Mus musculus: one gene and its partners. The protein of the gene in region 3 purifies or fractionates together with the protein of the main gene of each other region. This does not show direct contact. Links are inferred from orthologs where the notes say so. Each region holds a gene or a part of one and is shown on either strand. Other genes may lie near its edges.

The links. Proteins that work in one complex are often made in the same cells at the same time.
Region 1: the proteins of Pnma2 (region 3) and Pkn2 purify together in Homo sapiens (affinity purification with mass spectrometry; 3 studies listed by BioGRID and IntAct, with this or other methods). This does not show direct contact. The link is inferred for Mus musculus from reciprocal best matches to the Homo sapiens genes PNMA2 and PKN2.
Region 2: the proteins of Pnma2 (region 3) and Trim33 purify together in Homo sapiens (affinity purification with mass spectrometry; 3 studies listed by BioGRID and IntAct, with this or other methods). This does not show direct contact. The link is inferred for Mus musculus from reciprocal best matches to the Homo sapiens genes PNMA2 and TRIM33.

Annotation. Positions count from the first base shown.
Region 1 is NC_000069.6:142,808,765-142,812,718, reverse strand, and holds part of Pkn2 (serine/threonine-protein kinase N2), read left to right. Parts: intron 1-661; coding exon 662-805; intron 806-1,116; coding exon 1,117-1,192; intron 1,193-1,853; coding exon 1,854-2,028; intron 2,029-2,231; coding exon 2,232-2,358; intron 2,359-2,764; coding exon 2,765-2,895; intron 2,896-3,001; coding exon 3,002-3,077; intron 3,078-3,154; coding exon 3,155-3,246; intron 3,247-3,954. UniProt on the Homo sapiens protein: PKC-related serine/threonine-protein kinase and Rho/Rac effector protein that participates in specific signal transduction responses in the cell.
Region 2 is NC_000069.6:103,327,579-103,331,532, forward strand, and holds part of Trim33 (E3 ubiquitin-protein ligase TRIM33), read left to right. Parts: intron 1-1,459; coding exon 1,460-1,734; intron 1,735-2,501; coding exon 2,502-2,666; exon of another isoform or gene 2,667-2,686; intron 2,687-3,954. UniProt on the Homo sapiens protein: Acts as an E3 ubiquitin-protein ligase. Promotes SMAD4 ubiquitination, nuclear exclusion and degradation via the ubiquitin proteasome pathway. According to PubMed:16751102, does not promote a decrease in the level of endogenous SMAD4.
Region 3 is NC_000080.6:66,909,541-66,914,083, forward strand, and holds the start of Pnma2 (paraneoplastic antigen Ma2 homolog), read left to right. Parts: upstream 1-1,667; 5' UTR 1,668-1,753; intron 1,754-4,543. Other genes in the region: Dpysl2 (dihydropyrimidinase-related protein 2), read right to left, coding at 902-1,243.

The sequences.
Region 1 (3,954 bases), on a different chromosome or scaffold from region 3:
ATTTATTGTAGAACCTAAAGGCAAATCATTTATATCGCATTGTGGGTAATCTGCATAATTCCTAGAAACAAAACAGTAGAAGAGTGCTGTTTTCTAATTAAAATGTACATAAATTATAACATTGCAGAAATCAGTTCATGACTTGATTCCAACTTATAAACTGTTGTCTAAGGTATATTTAGTAGTAAGTTGTTAAAACTTTAAGTATGTTTTTTCATGTTTTCTCATTTCTGATGAGCACAATATATTCTCTTGTGTGGCCCAAGAGTGGGTCAAAGACATGGGTTTTCAGAGGCACCCAGTAAGACATCTTAGCATTAGGCCACCAGGCAATGGCATGTGAAAAGGAAAAAGCTGAAAGGTTGAGATTCTAAATGGAAGAGGAGTTTCTGTAATTACTGATTGTTCTCACTGTGGGTTCTGGCCTTGAAACTTTAGAAATGCATTAGCAGAAATTATCTGAATATAAGTTTAAGTTAAAACTGGAAAAAGTAATATATAGTTTAAAAACATTACAAAGTTTTGTTTTAAATAGTGTGACTTTGGTGTGTAATTTGTTTATTGTATTTGTAGTTCATATATTTTGTGATAATTTATTCAAGTGTGTGTCCAATGATGTCTTTTCTGTTTGTTTGTTTTTGTTTTTTTTTAATTACCTTAGTCACGTGAACTGGAAATTTCAGTTTATTGGCGTGATTGGCGATCTCTGTGTGCTGTAAAATTTCTGAGGTTAGAAGATTTTTTAGACAACCAGCGGCATGGCATGTGTCTCTATTTGGAACCACAGGGTACTTTGTTTGCAGAGGTAATACATGTATTTTATTAATGTGCATAACCACAGTAGAAATTGTATGTGTTATCAGCATGATGTAGAAATGGCAAGAGTGTTAGGCTGAGAGACAGATATGTTGAGCTCTTGGCTGCACTGCTGCATAAGGACGTGACCTTGAGGAAACTCATGTCTCCTCTAGGTCTGTGTTCTCATCTGGAAAAGGAAGGGGTTGGACTGATTGTAGCTAAGGTGCCTTCACGTTCTCCAGCTTAGGAATCTAGTAGATTTTAGTGAATCATAGTCCATTACAGTGTTGATAGCAACTTGTATTTTCTTTATTGCAGGTTACTTTTTTTAATCCAGTTATTGAAAGACGACCAAAACTCCAAAGACAAAAGAAAATTTTTTCAAAACAACAAGGTAATTACTAAGGATTAAGCATAGTACTTTATGTATAGAAAAAATCCAGCTCATAATTTGAAAGTAATTGTGCTTTCTTTCTTCTTAGTTGTTCATTTCTAGCCATTTTTAAATGAGGACTGAAACACGTCCTTAAGTGGAATAACAGAACACCGTGCTTTTGTTTTATTTTCAGTCAGTAGCCTATGTGACCTCAAAGGGTGCTGTCTTTAAGGACGTCCTTAAAATGATTCCCCTGCCTCCGTTTCCCAAGTACTTGGACTATGGGCACATACCGCCATGCCTGACTTTTTACTGAATTTGAGTAATAATCAACTCACGACTCTTACCATCTCCCATCCACTCTGCTTTGTGAGCTTATTTGAAGCATACTCATATATCACTAAGACTTGTTGTTCGTCATAACAGATGACTTAAACTTTAACCACATGTAATACTAGAGTTAAAAAAGAAATCAAACTCTCGATCTATTTTTAAAAACTGTTTGTGCTATTTATACGTGCTTGTAATAGAAAACAAAATAGTTAAAAACTAGGTTTTAAGTTACAAATTTGTTCTTCATAAATTCTAAACTGATGAATTATGAATTTCCCTAATTATGGTTTTCAGTAATGTATAAAGAAACTACTTATCCTACTTTCGTTATTCACTATGTCTACAGGCAAAACATTTCTCAGAGCTCCTCAGATGAATATTAATATTGCCACTTGGGGAAGACTAGTGAGACGAGCTATTCCCACAGTAAATCATTCTGGCACATTCAGCCCTCAGACTCCTGTGCCTGCAACAGTGCCAGTCGTTGACGCACGCATTCCTGATCTAGCACCTCCGGCCAGGTACTTGTCTTAGAAGGCTTGAGTGTATCTTCCATAGCCATTGCTAGGATGTCTAACGTGCTGTGTTCAGTCTCAGTCTTTCCAAGTGGAATTGCAGAACTGTTGCTCCTTATTTAAAAGAAGTTAGTTTGCTTTTATTTTGCAGCTACATAAAAATAAAGACTTTGATTGCAGCTTTGGTAAATTGCTTTGTCTTCTATAAGTGACTCTACAGTAACCAAATTGGACTTTGATCTTGAACCTGAACCTCCTCCAGCCCCACCTCGTGCTTCTTCCCTTGGAGAGACAGATGAATCTTCTGAATTGAGAGTTTTGGATATACCTGGACAGGCAAGGCATTCTAAACATTCCTTGTATAAGTTCTTCTTAAAATAAAACCATTATAGTGGCTAACATGTACATTGCAATTAAAATTATCAGTATGAAGTATGAATTTATGGTTTTCTGGTTCCTTTATGTTTGTGTTTTATAAGTGACTTTTCTCAGGTAGATGAAATTGATAGGAGATAGCCGTTCTTCCTGTTGGAGGACTGTTATCATTTGCCTCTGTATTCAAGAGTCCAAAAGGAATGCAATGTTTTGCAGACATTAGAAGAAGATAATATGCTTGAGGGAAGGAGAGCTGTTTGTTTAACAATAAGAACAAATGAGCCAATCTGAAACTTTTTCTCATACTTTTGGAATTCTCTGACTTTTATCTAACAGTTTGTTTTAATGAGCATTTGATATTTTACAGGGTTCAGAAACTGTTTTCAATATTGAGAATGACAGAAATAACCTGCGTCCAAAATCCAAATCTGAATATGAGCTGAGCATTCCTGACTCAGGTCGAAGCTGCTGGGGTGTTGGAGAGCTTGATGACAAGAGGTAAGGGATGAGCAGGCACGCTGCTTCGCCGTCTGTCCGTCTGTCCGTCAGCCGGCTGGTGGCTGGAGTGGAGTTGATGGCCTCATCTTTAATCGTTATGTTTCAGAGCTCAGCAGAGGTTTCAGTTCAGTCTACAGGACTTCAGGTGCTGTGCTGTCTTGGGGAGAGGACACTTTGGAAAGGTAATCTGTCAGCACTGTAGAAATAGCGTATAGGATGAGAAATTCAAATAGAACTCAGTTATTTATTCTTATTTCAGGTGCTGTTGGCGGAATATAAACACACAAATGAAATGTTTGCAATAAAAGCCTTAAAGAAAGGAGACATTGTGGCACGAGATGAAGTAGACAGGTCAGTTTTTTAAAATGAAGTTTTTCCTTGTGGCTAGAGATTGAGAGAGTAGACAGCAATGGATCTGAGTTCCTAGAAATATTTGATAATGCTAAATTTATCTTCTATGGCAAAACTAGACATTAATTAAATGCTGTTTTTCTTTTCAGTCACCTCTTTCCCTTAAGCCAGGTTTGGTGATACCAAGTAAAGACAGGGAAATGTTTAAAATAATTCTGTTAAATTTTAATAAGTTACAGTATTGATAAAGTATTAAAATGTAACTATTACTGATTTGTGACTTACTTAGTAAAACTAATCACATTTTCACCCGTGACGCAGATAAAATGTCATTTCCTGATAATATATAAGTAACTCAATGGTTAATATAGTCTGTGTTTTGAAATATACCTTTATGAATTTTCCTTTATGTATTAAAAATTATAGTTATTGGGGAAAGGATTGTTGGAGGGGGTGACTAGCAGGGGGCCAGTGAGCAGGATGTCAAGTGACTAAGTAAAAATTTAAATTCTTAAAAAATATAGTTATTTACTGTATATATGTGCACACATGCAGAGGCATATGTCAGTCATGTTGAGACCAAAACCAGCGTCTCTCCGTGTGAGTCTGGAGATCAGATTCAGGTCTTCTCAGCAAGACCCTTCTCCTGCTGAGCCATCCTGCTAGACCTCCTTTTGTGGTTTTTCTTCTCAAAAAATCCATTCTTTT
Region 2 (3,954 bases), on a different chromosome or scaffold from region 3:
AAAGCCAAGCAAGTGACTTTTGTAATTTTAGCTACTAAGGAGACTGAGACAGGAGGGTTCCTTGAGCCTATGCGTTTGTAAGACCCCTTCTCTTACAGTAGAATGAAATGAGACAGTATGACTCAGAATGAAGTCTGCCATCCATTTGAATATTTCCACTTTCAAAGTAATCACGCCCTTGAGATTCGAATTTTACTGTTTAAAAAAAACATATTATTTGGGCAAACAGAAAAAAGATACTCAATTTTGACTTTAGATATAGCACCAGAAAATCACTGTTGTTTGGCTTACTAGGAGAGAGAAGAATGAATGTGAGTGTGTGTGTGTGTGTATTTCATTTTATACTGCATTTTCAAAAAGTTTTTTACAAAAATTACTTGCAACAAGATTTTTTCTTTGTGGCCGGCCAATATTACCTCAAAGAAAATGACTATAAAAAGAAAGGGAAATAACTAGTTTAAAGGTATAAATGATTTAAAGTGTTCAGAATTTCCACAGAAAATTATTTGGTAGCTGGGTATTGTTTCACCCTTAACATTGGCAATTCAAAAGCAGATGGGGAGATTGCTCAGTGGTTAAGAGTACTGGCTATCCTTTAGAGGACCCAGATTTAATTCTCAGCACCCACATGACAGCTCACAACTGTCTGTAACTCGATTTCCAAGGGATCTGGTAGCCTCTTCTGATCGATCTCTTTGGGTAAGCAGGCATACAGTGGTTGGTGCACAGACATATATAGTCAAAACACCTGTACACATTTAAAGAAAGAAAGAAAGGAAGGAAGGAAGGAAGGAAGGAAGGAAGGAAGGAAGGAAGGAAGGAAAGAAAGAAGGAAAGAAAGAAGGAAAGAAAGAAGGAAAGAAAGAAAAAAGAAAGGAAGGAAGAAGAGAGAGAAAAAGAGAAAAGAAAGGAAAGAAAAGGAAGTTACAAAGAGAAAAAGAATAAGTATAGAATAGAATCAGTATAGCAACAATCATGAATATATCCTGGAGTCTTTGTCATGGAAGAATTGGTTCAGACTGACTGGATCCTTCCTCTAATAATGTCTCTTTCAGTCTCCAGCCAGCTAGCCTGGGTTATGCAGCAGCAAAGACACCGTGCCTCAAACTAGCTGGAAAGGTGAGGACTGACATCCAAAGGTTGTCCTCTGACCTCCACATGTGCACTGTTGTGCATGCCCACAACCATCCACGCCCCTCTCCAAAAACATGCACATGCATACATACACTACACCCACACAGGTCTAAGAGCAGATAGTGAATTCTGAATAATGAACTTATCTGTGGGAGGGTTCAAGGGGCTTCTAATTAGCATCATCAAACCTAGCTCTCATTTGTGATGTACTGTTGGATGCTCTGAGGTGCTAATTGTCAGAAGGAGGAAAAGATAGTGATTCATCTTTGAAGTGGGCAATTTAGTTGATTATTTGTAAATCCTTCTTATTTTTTTAAACCCTCAGGTAATCTAGTAATAGAGAGTAAGCCAGCTCCTGGTTATACTCCTAATGTTGTAGTTGGGCAAGTTCCTCCAGGGACAAACCACATTAGTAAAACCCCTGGACAGATTAATTTAGCACAGCTTCGACTCCAGCACATGCAGCAACAAGTGTATGCACAGAAACATCAGCAGTTACAACAGATGAGACTGCAGCAACCACCAGCTCCTATACCAACAACAACAGCAACAACCCAGCAGCATCCTAGGCAAGCAGCCCCACAGATGTTACAACAACAGGTAAGCATTGTGCTCTTCCATTAATGATAGAAATTGAGATGACCACAAATCTACACTTACTTCTTTGCACATGAATTACACAATATGAGTTACTAGGTGAAGTTCAAAGGTCAGAAATTTGGGGGAAGTTTAAAGAATAAAGGTGTTAAGATCATGGGAAGCAGTGACATTTTGCCTCTTGATATGTTATATACCCCCCCCCCCCATTTGTGTGACCCAGATTGTTTCTAAGCTTTGATGCGTTAGGCATTGGCTGAAATTACTCTTTTCTTTGATGTTGTTTATATGCTGCTTCACAATCAATATTGTTAGCTCCGCACGAGATGAGTTAATGTCGACCTCCATTTCCTTCCCGCACTCCCACCTAGAAAAGGTAGATAGGAAAAATTTGGAGTTACTTTTTATAGTAATTATCAGTTCTGTAAGTATTGGGTTTGGAAAGAGAATATGACCTAATAGTGTACCCTTAATACTACTTAATATTTATACCCTTCTGTTCTAACTGAATTACTGTTACCTTAACATTTTATGATTTGAACAATAAATTTGTAGAAATATCAGCTGGGCATGGTGGAGTTTGCCTTTAATCCCAGCACTTGGGAGGCATAGGCAAGTGGATCTCTGAGGTTGAGAATAGCCTGGTCTTCATAGTGAGTTCCAGGACAGCCATGGCTACAAAGAGAAACCCTGTCTCAAAAAGCCAAAAGAAAAAAGAAAAAAAAAAAAAAGGAACTACTATATGAATTAAAATGTCTGCTTTTTTACAGCCTCCAAGATTGATCAGTGTGCAAACAATGCAAAGAGGCAACATGAACTGTGGAGCATTTCAAGCCCATCAAATGAGACTGGCTCAGAATGCTGCCAGAATACCAGGGATCCCCAGGCACAGTGCCCCTCAGTATTCCATGATGCAGCCACATCTCCAAAGACAAGTATGCCTAGAGTTACATTTGTAAGAATCATACAATTTTAAAACTAAAAGATCATTTTTTATAATTAGAGTTGTTGATGAGGGTCTTTGATATTTATGATAGTTTGATATTCTACATATATCTGTTTGCCCAAAAAAATGTACATTCACATGAAAATTTGTCTCTTTAAACTTACAATATGGATTAAGATACTCTGTTTATCTAAGCTCATTGCCTAGAGTGAAAAACAAGTCAAGGAACATTTGATTTACCTTTAGTCACAAATGATAATTCTGAAAATCAAAGTTAGAGTTTTCCTGATACAGTTAGTATGCTTTTTAACATGACATTTTGATCTTGATAACAAAGAATTCTTTAATAAGGTTATCTGTGTGTGTATGTCTGTGTTTTTATATATTTTCTTTTCTATACTCAGGTGTTATTTGTTTTAGATATGCCTAATCTTATAAATTACTGTGGGTTAGGGTGTAGGTCTGTTGTAAAATGGTTGAAATTCTGGGATTGATCCATTACTGCCAAGAAACTCCCAAGATGTTTCTGATGACGATGATGATGATCTCAGGTTGAGTGGCTTTGATTGTCATTCCAGTGCTAGAGAGGTAGAGGCAGGAGATCAGAAGTTCAAGGTTATCCTTAGCTTTATAGAAAATTCAAGGTCAGCCTAGGCTATAGTAGATTTTGTCTCAAAAGCCAATTATATAGGGTGGAGAAATGGTGATTAATGCGCTTGTTACTCTCCAGAGAGCCACATATGGTTCCAAGGACTTATCTGGCAGCTCAGAAATATTTCCAAAAGACCTTAAATATGTATGACCTTAATCCTTGTAATAGTTCTCTTAATGAAATCAGAATGGAATCATTTATCCATAATTCAGGGTTACTATGTAAGATTATGTCACTGTTTAGGACTGTATAATAGTAGAGCTAGAAATCAATGTCATAATTCCTTTCTGAAACTCATGAATTTCTACCATATCAAGTTACATTTTGTAGTTCTTTTTTAATTGGCTAAAAGACTAAAGAATCAGAGAGGAATATGTTCAGAACTGTGCTTTCTGTGTCCTGCTATTTGCAAACTTGGTGGCTTTCACATCTTCATACATCCTTATTCTGAAGATCATATCAGTAGGCTGACAGATTAACAATTATTTGCAAATCTGTTTTTCTTTAGATAGTACATAAAAACGAGTGAAAAATGAAGACTCGTTTAAACTGTTCTCTTGCATATGAGAGGCCCCCACTTTGTCAGTTGCAGGTACTTTTAGTTTGGAAAGTACACACTAAAAAT
Region 3 (4,543 bases):
ATTACTGGACCATGTCAAACATTTTCCTTGACGAAGGATAGCCAAGCTAGCCTTCTTTGTCTCACCATTAACACAATCAGGGAGTCTTGCCTTCAAATGTGAGTCCTCCCTTCCCACCCTCATTTTTCCTTTCCTTTTTAGTTCTTTGAATATAATTCGCGTAGTCTCTCCCCATTCCCAAAGTGCTTCCCTTACAGCGCTGGGGAAGCGCTCTGAGAAGCCCTTGCCGAGACACTTAGCAGAACTTTGTTCTCTACATGGGCTATCTAGCTTTTCTCAGTGACATCACAACCTCCCGGACTCTTCACTGGCTGCTGAACACAGTCCAGGCAATGGTAAGAGGCTCCGGGCGCTGGCCGTGGTCCTGACCTCCTAGCTCAGAACCATGGTGCTGAGCGCACTAGAGGCGGGGACCTTGCCACACTGAGTAGCCATGTAAGCCCTTGTCCCTACAGACCCCAAGGGAATCCTCTAGTCTTCACTGCAGCCTTCCACTGCTCTCTTTGAGCTGCATCAAAAAAGGGTGGGGCTCTGAGCCGCAGCTGCAATCGGATGCCGCCCGGGAGGATTTAAGAACAGCACAGTGGTCCACCCCAATCGCCACTCGACGCCTCCAGCCCGGGGATCAGCTGGTCCCTGACGCGGGTTCCCCACCTCCCAGGGACAAGGAGGCTAGGGCAGCCTTTGTGGGAGCTCAAACGCCCACTGGCGAACCCGTGCCTCGCCGCACCCTGCGCGGTGAAGGGGTGGGCAGGGCGCGGTGCGCGTGCAGATGCGGGAGGCAGAGCTCTTGGTGCCGCGTGCTGGCTGGTGCTGGCTGCCACGCGGGGATGCTCGGTCCTCCGCGACAAGCCAGGGGGCAGCCCCGCGCTCCGATCCCACCCTCCACCCCCATACCAACCTGATCATAGATGTTCTGCAGGGCTTCCTTGCCCGAGGCCCGCCGGATCTCCACCTTCCGGCTCGATTCAACAGATGGCTCCCCACTGGCACGCCGGCTCTGCCGGTGCGGGTCGGGGCCCAAGTGGGCGACATCGCGCTGCTGAGCCACCACTTGCCCCGAGCCCCGGCCCACTGAAAGCGAGTCGAAGTCGATGGTCTTGTTCTCCGAGGACCCTTCCACAGGGCAGAACATGCCGCAGAATTTCTGCCGCGGCTTGGGACTGCCGGAGCCCAGGTTTTTAAAAAAGGCAGGGACCTCTTCGTCCTCTGCTGCCTTTCCAGATTGCTTTCTCTCGGCCATGGCTCAGGGGGCGCTGGGGAAGGTCCTGTCTGTTCGTCCGTCCGTCCGTGGTTTCCTAAGTCTCCCTAGCTGGGTGTGCACTAGCCTCTTGCTGCCGCCGCGGCTGCCTCTCCCTGCCTACCGCAAGGTGCACAGAAAGGATGGAGAGCTGGCGAACCGGCGACCCACCCCTCGCGGTCCCTCCTCCTGACCCCGCTTTCTCCCTCCCTGCCCACGCCCCCCGGCGCCGCCACGCCACCTCCGAGCAAAGTTGGATCTGAGCGGGCGGTCGCTGCGGCAGAGGATGCCAGTTCCCGGCAACGCGGGGCGGGGCGGAGTGGGGCGGGGCAGGAGGAACGCAGGATCAGGAGGGAGGGGACAAGGAGGGAGAGGACCCAGAAGGAGGAGACGGAGAAGGGAGGGTACGAGGGGGTGGGGGGCGCCCGGAGCCTGCGCCCCGGAAGTAAAGCGGACACTCCACCCGCTAATGGACGCGCGGCAGCCGCCCGACAGACCTCTCTCGGCGCCAGGGTGAGTGTCGGATAGCTATAGCCGGGCAAGGACCCGAAGGCTCAGACCCTAGTCCAGAGCCCCTCTCCCCGACCTGCCTCACTGCATTGCTAAGGTGGCCCTGGGGCTCCCCTGGCCTCGGGTGAGAGCTGAGGGTTGAGGGAGCCAAGGTTCAAGCCTGAAGGCTCTTGGAAACTGGGCAGGGGTGACCCTGGAAACAGCAAAGTCTACTCCGGGATAACCAAGTATCCGGCACCAATGCTTCAGTTTACCCACGACCTGGGCGCCAGGGCGCGCACTGCAAGGAGCAGAAGGAAAGGAGAATGTTCTCCCTGCTTGCAGCCCCTGTGGTTGGGAGGTGGGGCTCACAACATGGCGGGGGCGAAAAAGCAGAGGAGCATAGCAAATGCAAGCGGTGACCGGGGGAGAAAGCAGCAAGCCTGCGGTGCGGGGGGGGGGGGGGGGGGCATAGTAAAGAATGCAGACTGAGGATTGCGCTTCAGCATAGAAACTGGGGACCCGTAACATCATCTGAAAAGGCCATGCCCTGCACATCAGCCATTGCCTCAGAAAAGGCTCAGAAGAGTCCTGGATTTGATATCTCCAATCCCTCAAAACACACACACACACACACACACACACACACACACACACACACACACACCCAAAACGGAAAATGGTTGGGGACTAAGCAGACTGAAGCACACTCATCTTGCTTTCAAGTCGCCCCGCCTAGCTTCCCCGCCCCTGTTGCACGCTGCGCAGGAGGCCCGGGAGTTTGCCAGATGTTCCTTCTCTAGGGCCGCAGCGGTTTGCATGGAGGGTAGAGGTAGATTGCTGTTCAGGGGAGGGTTACATGCTGTGTGAGTTGTGGGCAGCCAAAGTGTGGGGATTTGGAGTGTGTGCGCGCGTGCACACGGTTCAGCCACGACCGCCAGGTTCGAGGCTTTTCCTTGCTTAGTCCCACCTCCTGGTCCTGGCTTGGTTGCATTTAAGCCCCTCCTGTTTTTCCAGAGTGGCTGAAAGCTGCAAAAGTGTTGCCCATCCTTTAGGGGTTCTGGAGCGAGATCTGAGCATGCTCACTAAGATGGATGGGTTTGGTCTAGGAGAGGCAGTTTACTGCAGCGTGTTCTCACAGGGCGTTGTGACCAAGAAATCAGTCCCATTGTCAGCCTTTGCTTAGGTAACGATTGCTTGCAGATATCAACGCCCCCAGTTGCCCGAGATAGCTTGATTGATGGAGTCATAATTTGTGCGCACACACACACAATCCTGTAGGAGCCGAAAGGAGGGCCTATGGACCTTAGCACCAGAAATGCTTGGAATTTTCTTATAAAGTGTCCATTGGAATTGTCAATGCCACACTAAAGCCCTGAGGTCTTTCATCCTCCCTGCCTTCCAAGTTAGGACACCAGTTTATGAGTCATTACGCCTAAAGTCATGTGTCTAGTTGTCCAGGCCTTTGCCCCAAGAGCCTGGTTCCTTCAACAGGTTATCCTATAGGCCTCTTTAGTGAGAAAAGTACAAAATCCTTGCATTCTTCCATACCCAAGCATTTCCCTGGTGGTTCTTTTGTACATCAAGGGTGTTTCATTTACAGTCTTAAAATCTTTTTTGGTTAACCTTCATTTATGTATATGGATGTTTTGCTTGAATGTTTGTACATGCACTGTGTACAGGCCTGGGGCCATTGGCGGCCAGACAAAAGTGCCAGATTCCCCTGGAATTGAAGTTACAGAGTAAGCCAACTTGTGGGTGCTAGTAACCAAACCTGTGCATTTCACCACTAAGCAATCCCTCCAGATGTGTGAGGCCTTAGTTAATTGAAGAGCAACCCTTGTAGGTATGGTTACCATTGGGTTAAAGGTCTCAAAGGCTAGCAGATTTCAGCATGACAATTTTTCTGTGAATCTGGACATTTGGTGTTTTTTGTTCATTTGTTTGTATTTGTCTTTTTTGTTTGTTCGTTCGTTTTCTGTTTGTTTCGGTTTTTCAAGAGAGGGTTTCTCCGTGTGACAGCTCTGGCTGTCCTAGAACATACTCTGTAGACCAGGCTGGCCTGGAACTCAGAGTTCTGCCTGCCTCTGCTTCCCAAGTGCTAGGATTACAGGCATGCGCCACCACTACCCAGCATGTCGCTTGTGTTTGTTTTTGCTCTTTCTGAGACAAGGTCCTGTTTGTAAGCCCAGGCTGACCTCAAACTCCCGATGTAGCCAAGGGAGTTAAACTCCTGGCTCACTTACCTTCACCACTTAAGTGCTGGGGTAATGGGTATGTGCCACGGCGCCTGGCTTATGCAGTGCTTGGGATCTAACTCAAGGCTTTGTACATAGTGACAGCACTCTGCCAACTAGGCTACAGTCCTAGCCCCTCCAGAGCTCTTCACATCTCATTCCTCGAAACAACTCCAAGCAGAGGAAGTTCACTCCCATATTTTACAAGGGAATCTCAGGCCTAGATTGGTCTGAAGTTCCGGGCTCCCATGCTGCCAAGCACAGGGTGAGACAGCATCTTGCTCTCCTGGTTCTGACACAGTGGAACAGCCTTCAACACCTTCCAGGAAGACCGGATCTGCTCCTGCTGCTGCCATAGTTAAGACCAGCATCTGTGGCATACAACCTCCTTCAGAGTGATGGGAGATGTTCAAACCAAGGAGGAAGTGGATATAGCACCCTAACACACCCTCTACAAGTCTCTGAGAGGCACAGTCAGGCACCAAATTACAACATTTCAGTTGACATAACACATGTGCCCTATAAGAATGCATGGTCTAGTGATGGCACTCTGACATTCAGCCAATTAGGAAGCGGC